3 linked regions of the Xenopus tropicalis genome follow. The protein of the gene in region 3 purifies or fractionates together with the protein of the main gene of each other region. This does not show direct contact. Links are inferred from orthologs where the notes say so. Each region holds a gene or a part of one and is shown on either strand. Other genes may lie near its edges.

Region 1 (3,727 bases), about 43 Mb from region 3:
CGACACTAACCCCCATATGTAATTAAAGGCACAGAGTTTGCCCAAGAGCAGTAACCCATGGCAACCAATAAGATGTTTGCTTTTAAACAAGTAACCAGTAAAAGCTGCCTGCAGATTGGTTGCTATATGTTACTGCTCCTGGGCCTTTTATTACATAAGTCCCTTAGGGACTTTTTTTTTTTTGTATAGTGTGTAAGCCAACATCAGCGGTGGTGTTCCCCAGGCACCCAATCAGCAATTAGATTTGACCAGTCACCTACAAGTTACAAAACAAAAGCAAAGATCTGATTGGTTGGTATGGGCAACATCACCTGTCATGTTGGCGTAAACACTATAATAAATATGCCACTAAATGCTTTGTTCTACATCCACTTTAAAGGAAGTATTTTTTCTGGCTCTTTTATGGTAGGAATAAATCTATAAGCTACACTTGCACATGGAAACCACATTTTCAGTACAAAAATAGGAACCCTAGGTAATTTTGATATGAGTAAAGCAGTTGTTTTTCCTCTTAGTGCACTTTGTTATTTTGATTTACAGAGAGTCATTGCGGGTAACTGAGCTCCTGAGCCTTGGAGTTCATTGTATTCACCCTGCATTTGGGCAAGAGTGCACTAACTGGAAATAGAATGGAAATACAGTTCTCTGCTTTACTTGGCCGCTTCTGAATGCAGAGAGTAGAGACAGATCATTGAGCTTTAACTTTTATTCATCAATTTGCTGTGGATCTTCAGTTTGTTTTTTTTTTTCCCTTTATGGTTTTTGAATTATTTAGCATTAGTGCAGCACATCTCCAGTTTAGAATGTCTAGGGTCCAGTTAAGCCTAGCAACAGTGGTTTATAGCAGAGACTGCAAGGTTAATAAAGGAGCGCCTGAATAAGATAGATCAGTGCTGTCCAACTTCTGCGGTGCCGAGGGCCGGAATTTCTCGCGCATACATGGCGGAGGGCCACTAATGGAAGCCACTCCCCCCTTTAAACCACACCCACCCATGGCCTGTGTGTGCCATACTCTGCCCTACCCTGCCTGTGTGCCATACTCTACCTGCCATATGCTGCCTGTGTGTGCGCCATACTCTGCCCTACCCTGCCTGTGTGTGCCATAGTCTGCCTGCCCTACCCTGCCTGTGTGTGCCATAGTCTGCCTGCCCTACCCTGCCTGAGTGTGCCATACTCTGCCTGCCCTACCCTGCCTGTGTGTTCAATACCCTCCCTGTCCTATGCTGCCTGTTTGTGCCATACCCTCCCTGCCCCATGCTGCCTATGTGCCATACTCTGCCTACCCTATGCTGCCTACACACAGGCCTGAGGTGTGAAGAGGTGAACAATGTGGGTGATTACAGCCTGAGCCTGAGGTGTGAACACTGCAGGGGGTAAACAATGCATAGATTAAAAGGTGTGAACAGTACAGGGGATTACATATTTAAACAATACAGGGGGATTACAGCCTGAATCTGAGGTGAGAACCATGCAGGGGGCAGTTAATCTCAGTACTGATACCATTTAATGCTTATACAAGGGTAAACCATCAAAGCAGCCAGACAGGTGGGGGGCCACACAGAGGGGGGCCGCCAGTTGGACAGCACTGAGATAGATGAAGGATAAGTCAAAATAGTAAGTAACAATAACATTGTAGCCTCACAGAGCAATATGTTTTTGGCTGATTGGGGCAATGACCCCCATTTGAAAGAAAAGCAGAAGAAGAATGCAACTGTTGCCAAAACAAAAAGAGATATAATAGAGATATAATATAATATTTCTATACTAAAAGGTAGCCTAAAGGTGAACTTGCCCTTTTACATGCTTTCAGGGTGCACTGCATTTAAAGCACTCATGGTTACTTGTCCCATGCCGACAGGGCCGTATTTACCATAAGTGGCCCTTGGGCACCTATATGGTAAACAGAAGACATGGGGTAAACAATCTCCACAGCCTGAGACACTGGGCAGTGAAAGGGCAGAGATGGCAGGCTGAGGTTGGTGCCTAGGGCAGGACTAAATACAGCCGTCAGTGGCCAACACTTGAACAAAATGCAATAATACATATGCAGTATTGTTATTTTTCTGCTTCAGTGCCTGCTGTCTCTGCTGTGATTGACATTTCAATACCCATAGCATTTAAATGTCCATTATAGGAATGGAATTATTATTTATAGACATGTACTCTGTATTATCATCTGTTTTATCAGTTCTATAGAGCCCCAATCCCCCCCATTCTTTTTAAATAACAGCTTTTTTTTCCCTTGTGATCTTACTTTTCCTTGAAGCGTTCCAATCCACATGCTGCTTATCAAAACCCTGGACCAAGCACATCACAACCTCAGAGCAGCATGGGGTATTCGTCTACCTCCCAGCAGCCTCCGCAGTACTCCCATCAGACCCACCGGTACTGAGCTGTACCCAAGGGAAACAACATCACAAAGTCAATGCACTGTTGCTTTGGCTGCAGGACTGAGCATGTAGCTGTCTGCCTGAAGCCTGGCTTTGGAATGTACTGTACAACCACACCTTCAAAATGTCCAGCAGCCAAGTTACACAACATTTCAGAGAATGTAGACCCCCCCCCCCCCCATGTGAAGGTTAAGAGTGCTAGCTCAGTTGGCGCAGTCGTGGATTTGCTACTTCCATAGTTTACTTGAATATGGTTCAAACTGACCAATGCATATTCTCTTCAGTGATGGTAGCAGTTGAAGCTGTGAAGTATGTTAGGAACAAACACTTTGTTTTTCATGGTGACTTCTCACAATATGATCTGACCAATAAGAAACGGTCTTCTCTGGTATGGACATTAACCAGCACGCTAAATCGTACTGCTGTTCTGTTTGCTACACGTTTCTTTCTGTATAGTTTTCAGGTGATACCAGATGATCACCTCCATCAGTGTTTTATAACCAGCAAATCTTGTTCCTCCGACACCTTCCCCCTAAACAAAAAGCAACAACGAAAAAAAAGCAACGTTTGGCCTTTATTTCCCCTTTACGAGCCTCCCAAAGATTCTATTTCAGCATAGGTTTTTAAGGACTTTTTAACTTGACTAGTATTAAAGCTGCTATCTGATATTAAATATACCAACCTGTTTGCAGAGGCAAACAAGGGCAACCGATCATCATCAACTTTTTTTTTGTTTGTTTTGTTTTTCCCCCCTGTTGGTGTTGCTGAATTGTGAGCATGCTATGGAGTTCTGACTAAATAAAAAGCAAAAAAAAAATAGTGAAAACAGAAAAAAAAGAAAAAATTGGTAATGAAATAATTGCCTCGCGAGGGTCGAGGCGCCTGTCCGGATCCTGTAAGCTGGCTTGGTGTAGTGTATTTCAATTCAACTCCCTCTTTTTCATTTTGTGGCCCCGCCCCTCATCCATAGGGTCGTCTCTGTTGGAGAATAAAAGGTAGAAAGGCCTTAGAATTTACAAGGATACAAAACTGTAACATACAATGTACTGTATCAGACTATTTTACATTAATGACAAGTATTCTGATTAAAAAAAAAAAAAAGAATTCAACATTGTTAACGCAAGGTGTTAAGTAATAAATTTATTTTTCATAAAACAATCTGTGTGTGGGGTTTTTTTGGGGGTTTTTTTTTGTGTTTTTTTCAGTGTGATGCTGTATAAATTGGAGATGTTTAAAGGGAGACCTACATGTTGCGAAGAAACCCAGAGAGGCGACTTTGGGCTGCTCCAGAGAGTGAAGGCAATGCATACAGTGGCTTGCAAAAGTATTCGGCCCCC
Region 2 (3,500 bases), on a different chromosome or scaffold from region 3:
ACCAAAAATGGAGACATTTTGCTTATTTATTCAGCACTAAATATTCCTGCATGAAGTATGCAAACCCTTCGTTCAGCAACCGGTGGCACCTTGTAGAGCAGCAGGAACTTCAAATAAACATTTCCTTCAGCGTTTCATCAGCGTCTTCCATAGGCCTGGGGGAATTTAGGCCCATTCTTCCCAAAAGAAACAGTTTCGGGTCAACTATGGTGGCTGGGTCGCCATGTACGCCAGTCTGGTCTATAATACTGTGTGGTTACCCTTGCATACAGCATTCCACTTACACTTCTCATTATGATCAGGGTGTTTTTATGACTTTGCATACAAATCCATGGGGAGAAACCCACTGACATGGCAACCAACAATGGGGTCATGGAGGAAATCAGGTAGCACTTATCCTTTCTCAAGCCTTCGGATGAATGTCTGATGAGTTCCCATTTATACTTATAGGCTTCAGTTTTTTATTGCGCATTTATTGAAGCACCACATGATTATCTAATCATACGCTGTATCCATGGCTTTAAAACAAGAGCTTCTCTTCCATTTTTGCACTGATTTCTTTATTAAGTTGCTAGTTTGTGCCTGAATATCAGGAGGAGCCCTAGTTGGCCCAATCCAGCACTGCTCTGAACATCTTAACGGAGACATATAGTATAACTGTAAACCCCTCCAAGCTTGTAGGCAATAATGAATTATAAGTGGTGCCAGTTTTACTAAATATTATCCTCTCTGGTCCCTGTGAGTGTTCCAAATAAGAGGTGGATGAGTCCTAATTGTCCATGCTAGAAGCACAGTAGGAGAGGGATAGCCAATCACAGCCCTCCAGTCACCCAGGGAAAGACGGGCTTCAGTTCTCTATCAGGTCAGCCTAGCTGCTGATTGGTTCCTATCCTACAGGGCAGTGTGCTGAGTGCCGCCGGCCCCCCTGCACAGCCTGGGAAAGGAAGTGGATGGAAGTGGGACAGATGGGCAGGGCTAGTAGGGTTTGGGGGGGTTATTTCAATAAATCAACCCAAAACGCTACTTTTCTCACCATGTTTAGAGGAATATAATGCCCAGGCACATTCTTAATTTCCACACAGTATGTCTCCTTCAATGTCCATGCTCACAGAGTTCTCACCCTCTGCCTTTTTTCCCCTCTTTCTCTCATTTTTCAATATCAGTCCTTATACATTCCTGTTTCACACTGGAATCTGTCTATTTTTTTATGTTGGCTTGCCTTTGTTTCCTTGAGTCTATTATGTTTTTCTCCTCATCCGTTTAATTCTGTTCACCTTCACCTCTTTTATTCTCACTGCTCTCCCTGTCTGTCTCTCTCCATCTCCCCAGTTGTCCTGGATGATACCAAGCGGGTAGCCAAGCGAAAACTGATTGAAGAGAATCGAGAGCGGCGGCGGAAGGAGGAGATGATCAAGACTCTGCAACAGCGTCCAGAGCCCAGCAAAGAGGAGTGGGAGTTGATTCGCATCGTAACAGAAGCTCACAGGAGCACCAACGCTCAGGGCAGCCACTGGAAACAGCGTAGGAAGTTTCTGGTGAGGCTGATGAAGAATTCAATGTAGTACAGTAGATATATGGCGGCCATCGTTCTGGGCCGCAGAGCCATGGGTGGAGTTTTAAGTTGGAGCAGCTTGGGAGCTATTCATAAATTAAAAATGAGACCATATGGAGTTGGTCATAATTACAGGAAACAGACGTGTCTAACAATGGAAAGTGTTTCAGTAAGAGCAGGCAAACTGCAGGGATATATATAATGTTAATGTTTGGGAGAGGTATAGGAGAGCTTATATAGAGCACCTAGACAGCTGTTTATTGATTCTGGTACCCTAATACCTTTGATTTCCCCTCCGTGCTCCCCTTGAACAGTCCAACGGGGAGCGGCGATGCACAGCTATGTAGTAAAGTAGCCTTTGCAGGATACAGCAGGGAATCCCTGGGATTTCCGTAAGGGAACTTCCTGTGCAGATGGAGAAGCTGTGACCCCTTGGAGAGAGCAAGCAGCATCTGTTGCCCTCCAGCTCGTGCCCCCTGCCCCAGCGCCGGGGTTTCCAAAGAGTTTGCCTAGACTTCAACATAGGTCAGCACGCAGATGGCAATGTAGAAAGCAAGTTTAGTGCATTGTCAAAGGCACCGTCTGGTCTGTGTGTGCAGAATAATGGTGCAGTCTTCCTTATTTTTTATTGTAGCCATATATTTCTGCCCCAAATTTGTATTCCCCTGTCCTTTAGTGCAGTTGGGGTAGATACACACTGCACCCTCTATGCTGCCCAGCAAGGGGGTACTTGTGCCTTTCACTCTCTCTGCAGCAGAGCAGTATGGCATCCATGCCTATAAGTGCTGCATTGAAATCTGTCATCAGTACCCTGTAATTAGTGTTGTGTTAATTAGTATATGTTCCTCTCTGCAGCAATGCAGCCTGCTATTAACCCCTGTATATATGCTACTGGTGTCATTATCTGTGTGTAATAGGGAATTGTACCAGTGTGCTGCAGCACAGATCTGTGCCCTTTATGCTCTTTATTTGTGTAGCAAAGTCTTTGCTTCTTGCCAAATGCAACAGTGCCTCCTCTTATTTTTCTTTCTGTACAGCAGTGCATAATCATGCCTGCCCTGAGTGATTTCCTTCTATTCTGCTCCAATATATGTCTGATTCCTTTATAGTGTCTCTGTGTTCACTCATGCCTCAGTGTTCAGCAGTCAGTTTGGGTCCCCAGCTTCGGCACTTAGCCATACGGTTTTGGTATGGGTGCTTAGAAGTCTGTTGGCCTATGTGTTCTTCAGTACATTTTTGGTACCAATGCCTTTTGGGGTACCCATGCTTCAGTGCTCATCAGTAAATCAGTACACCCATGCCCTGGTGTTTAGTAGTCTGTTTTGGTACTTAGCGGTGTAGCACCCAAGCTTTAGTGTTTAGTAGTACATTTCTAATGCTCATTCCTTGGCACTTAGCATTCCATTAGGGTGGCCCTCCCTCAGTGCTTAGCAGTAGATTACTGGTACCTATTCCTCAGTTTATAGCAGCCTGCCCTGGTAGCCAAGCCTCAGTGCTTATTATTCCATTTTGATACTTAGCAGTCGGGTACCCATGCTTTAGTGCTTAGAAGTACATTTATAAAACCTATTCCTTGGCACTTAGCAGTCCGTTTTGTTACTCATCCCTCAGTTCTTAGCGGTTCCTATTCCTTGGTACATATTAGCACAATCTGGTACCCATCTCCCTCCCTGTGTATAGCCCTGCCTTCTATAACCTGCGCCTGTGTATAGCCCTGCCTTCTGTTACCTGTGCCTGTGTATAGCCCTGCCTTCTGTTACCTGCGCCTGTGTATAGCCCTGCCTTCTGTTACCTGTGCCTGTGTATAGCCCTGCTTTCTATAACCTGTGCCTGTGTATAGCCCTGCCTTCTATAACCTGTGCCTGTGTATAGCCCTGCCTTCTATAACCTGTGCCTGTGTATAGCCCTGCCTTCTGTTACCTGCGCCTGTGTATAGCCCTGCCTTCTG
Region 3 (3,500 bases):
TAGCAGTTTGCCATATGGGGGTCGTGCAGTATTTGCGGCCAGCAAATGCATATATGATGCCCAGCTGCTCATTTTCTTATCTGAGGGTAACCACAGATTCAGTCTTTATCACTTTTATTTTATATGTAATCCAGGTCAGGTTTCCTTATTATAAGTGATAGCTGCTATGCCTTTATTACATATTAATCCTCCTACTCTGTTGTGATGATCTTATATTTCACAGACAATGGATGCTGACCATTCAAAGTCTCCAGAGGGTCTTCTGGGAGTCTTGGGTCATATGCTGTCTGGCAAGAGCCTGGACTTGCTATTGGCCGCAGCGGCAGCCACTGGGAAACTGAAGTCTTTTGCCCGCAAATTCATACAGTAAGTTTTAAAATAACATTTTGAAGGCAGTTGAAGTGTTTGTGTCAATATGGAAAAGCTATAGGTGTTTATTCTGTGCAGTCGGTACATAAATACTTTTGACTCCGACTCGTCAGTTCATGGTACCTTCAACTATTTTTTTTTTTTTTTTTTTTTTTTCAAAGGTGTTTATTTTGCATTTGTAACATAAAACAACATAAAACATTTGGCATTGGTTCTACAAGCGTGTTCTTTTCATGCCAGAATGTAAACAGTACATTGGGTTAGATAATCACCTTCGACTATTTTTAAAGGGATTCTGTCATGATTTTTATGGTGTACTTTTTATTTCTAAATGACACTGTTTACATAGCAAATAATTCAGATACGTACTGGGAGCTGCTATCTTGCTCCCTTCCGATCGGCTGCTGATCGGCTGCTGGGGGTGGGATATCACTTCAACTTGCAGCGCAGCAATAAAGTGTCCCTAAGTCTGAGCTTTCAGAAGCGCTACACATTTGAACTGCTTTCAGGTAACTTGTTGTTTCTCCTACTGCCATGTAACTGGAGGAGTCCCAAGCCAGACTTGGATTTCTTACTATTGAGTGCTATTCTGATACCTACTGGGAGCTGCTATCTTGCTCCCTTCCCATTGTTCTCTTGATTGGCTGCTGGGAGGGGGGAGATATCACTCCAACTTGCAGCGCCACAGTGAAGTGTGACTGAAGGTTATAAGAGCACAGGTCACATGGCACCCTGGGAAATGAAGAATATGGCTAGCCCCATGTGAAATTTCAAAATTAGAATCCATGTTAGATCTGTTTGTGTTTTTGAAAAATGGATTCAATGCAGGATTTTGCTGGAGAATCTCCTTTAACTGATGGGTTTTGTAACAAATATGTTTCCCCGTGATAGTATTCCTTTAATATACTAATGCAGGGATCTTCAAGCTTTTTAAACAGGGGGCCAGTTCATTTTCCCTTAGACTGTTGGGTTGCTGGACTATAGTTTGAATTTTTTTTTTAAAAAACCACAAACGAATTGCCATGCACACTGCACATATCTTATTTGTAGTGCAAAAAAACATGAAAGGGCAATACAATATTTAAAATGAAAAACAATTTTAACAAACATAGACTTCAATGGGAAGCATGGACCTGGTTTTGGCTGATGAGATAGTCCGGTTCCATGTTTCTCACTGCCAGTCATAACAAGTGATGCAAGTGTTCATCCGTTAGTCTGGATCTGGTTGGCGATTTCAGATGTTTCATTCTGGAAAAAGTCTGTTCACAGACATAGATGCTGCCAAAGATGGTTGTCATTATGAGTGAATGATTCCTGAGATTAAGATATGTCTCAGAGGGGAGAAATGCATAGAAATTGTAAGGCTGCTTGATTTCAATACGTCTTTCAGAGAGTCACAATTCTGTAGTTCGGCCAGTTTCATTTGGTAAATCGGATTAACAATTTCAATGTCAATTGAAAATGGGTTCTGTAAAAGCTGTATGTTAAAACTCCCTTTGCAACATTTTCCAGTGAATCCACACATTTTTTGTTTGGGTATGGTTTCTTATGGTTTCTCAGCTTTTGCGTAGTGGGGTGATGGCAGAAGTTTTCCTCCTTTACTTGTTTTAATAAGGAGGTCCAATTTTACTTCAGATGTTTTCACATGTGAATGTATATCACAGATGAGCTTCCCCTTTCCTTGAAGTTGCACATTGAAACTGTTGAGTAGCGCTGTTACATCTGTCAGAAAGGCAAGGTGCCACTTCCATTCTGCATCTGGTACAGAAAAGCAGAAACCCGTGGAAGTAAGGCATAAAAACATTTCAAAACTCTCCCTCGATGCACATTTCTGCGCGGTACATAATATCTTCATAGGCAACATTCAGCTCAGAGAGAAATTCCTGAAGCTGTTTGTGGTTTACGGCACGAGCCCTAATGAAATTAACACAGTACACCACAACTTTATGAGTTGCACTTCAGTGATCACAGTAAATCACAGCGCTTGTTGATGGATGAGGCAGGATATCACTATTGGACGCGAATGGTTGTGTTTGTCCATCTCTTGGTCATAGACCCCACCATGCTAGGAACACCATCAGTTGTCTCACTGGCTAGTTTAGCCCAGTCCAGCTCCAAATCATTCACAGTTTGGTGAACCTTTCATAGATATCCTATATGTCGAGTTTCGTAGTGTCAACGCAAATTCATTCTTTGAACACAGCCACTGAATCCTGGCATACCAGACAAACCGCTCTCTCCTTGCACTGCATGAAAAAGTAATCGTAGGTCCACTGTTCTTTGAACATCCTGCACCTGGAGTCAGTTTTTCTTTTACTTGACATAATTGTTTCCTAGGGATGCACAATGGCTATTACTACTTTGGGATGGGTGCGCGTAGCTATCACGTCTGCTGCTGGCCTGTGTGTCTGGGTACTGGGTGGTAATGAATCCACACACTTTTTGTTGGTGCTGTGGCATTTAAAATTGACTCTTGGACATTTAGTGCTCAGCATTTTCAAACAGCAATGGTCTAACAAACGAGTGTACCCACACTGGCAGGGATTTGCCATAACTTAAAGGAAAAGTAACACTAAAATTTTTTAACTAAAAAAATCTATTCTACCCTCCCCCAATAATTGCCCTATCCTGAAAACCATTTGTGATTTTGAATGCTTTAGTAGAAAATACCTGTAAAAAAAACTTGGCTTCCTGTCATTTGAACAAAGGCGATACGGCGATGCCGGGGAAAGTATCAGGAGATGCATGAACTATGCGGTGATCGATTGATCGATCCTAGCCTGACTTCTGTATAGGAAGGAGTCAGGCTAGGCTCGATCAGTCGATCACTGCATAGTTCATGCATCTCCTGATACTTTCCCCGGCATTGCCGTATCGCCTTTGTTCAAATGACAGGAAGCAGAGTTTAACAGGTATTTTCTTCTAAAGCATTCAAAATCACAAATGGTTTTCAGGATAGGGCAATTATTGGGGGAGGGTAGAATAGATTTTTTAGTTAAAAATTTTTTAGTGTTACTTTTCCTTTAATGAGGGGAGTGTTGGATCATTTTGTGCTCTCTCCACTAGGCCACTGAGTGCTGCAGGGCCAAATGTTTAAAACTGCCCTGTGAACTCTTGCCTTTATGCCATAC

What was found. The genes of interacting proteins can lie anywhere in the genome.
Region 1: the proteins of med24 (region 3) and cdk8 purify together in Homo sapiens (affinity purification with mass spectrometry; 13 studies listed by BioGRID and IntAct, counting the BioPlex papers as one, with this or other methods). This does not show direct contact. The link is inferred for Xenopus tropicalis from reciprocal best matches to the Homo sapiens genes MED24 and CDK8.
Region 2: the proteins of med24 (region 3) and thra purify together in Homo sapiens (affinity purification with western blotting; 3 studies listed by BioGRID, with this or other methods). This does not show direct contact. The link is inferred for Xenopus tropicalis from reciprocal best matches to the Homo sapiens genes MED24 and THRA.

The regions. Positions count from the first base shown.
Region 1 is NC_030678.2:155,758,950-155,762,676, reverse strand, and holds the end of cdk8 (cyclin-dependent kinase 8), read left to right. Parts: intron 1-2,266; coding exon 2,267-2,392; 3' UTR 2,393-3,227; downstream 3,228-3,727.
Region 2 is NC_030686.2:9,072,152-9,075,651, reverse strand, and holds part of thra (thyroid hormone receptor alpha), read left to right. Parts: intron 1-1,329; coding exon 1,330-1,535; intron 1,536-3,500.
Region 3 is NC_030678.2:112,529,724-112,533,223, reverse strand, and holds part of med24 (mediator of RNA polymerase II transcription subunit 24), read left to right. Parts: intron 1-223; coding exon 224-366; intron 367-3,500. UniProt on the Homo sapiens protein: Component of the Mediator complex, a coactivator involved in the regulated transcription of nearly all RNA polymerase II-dependent genes.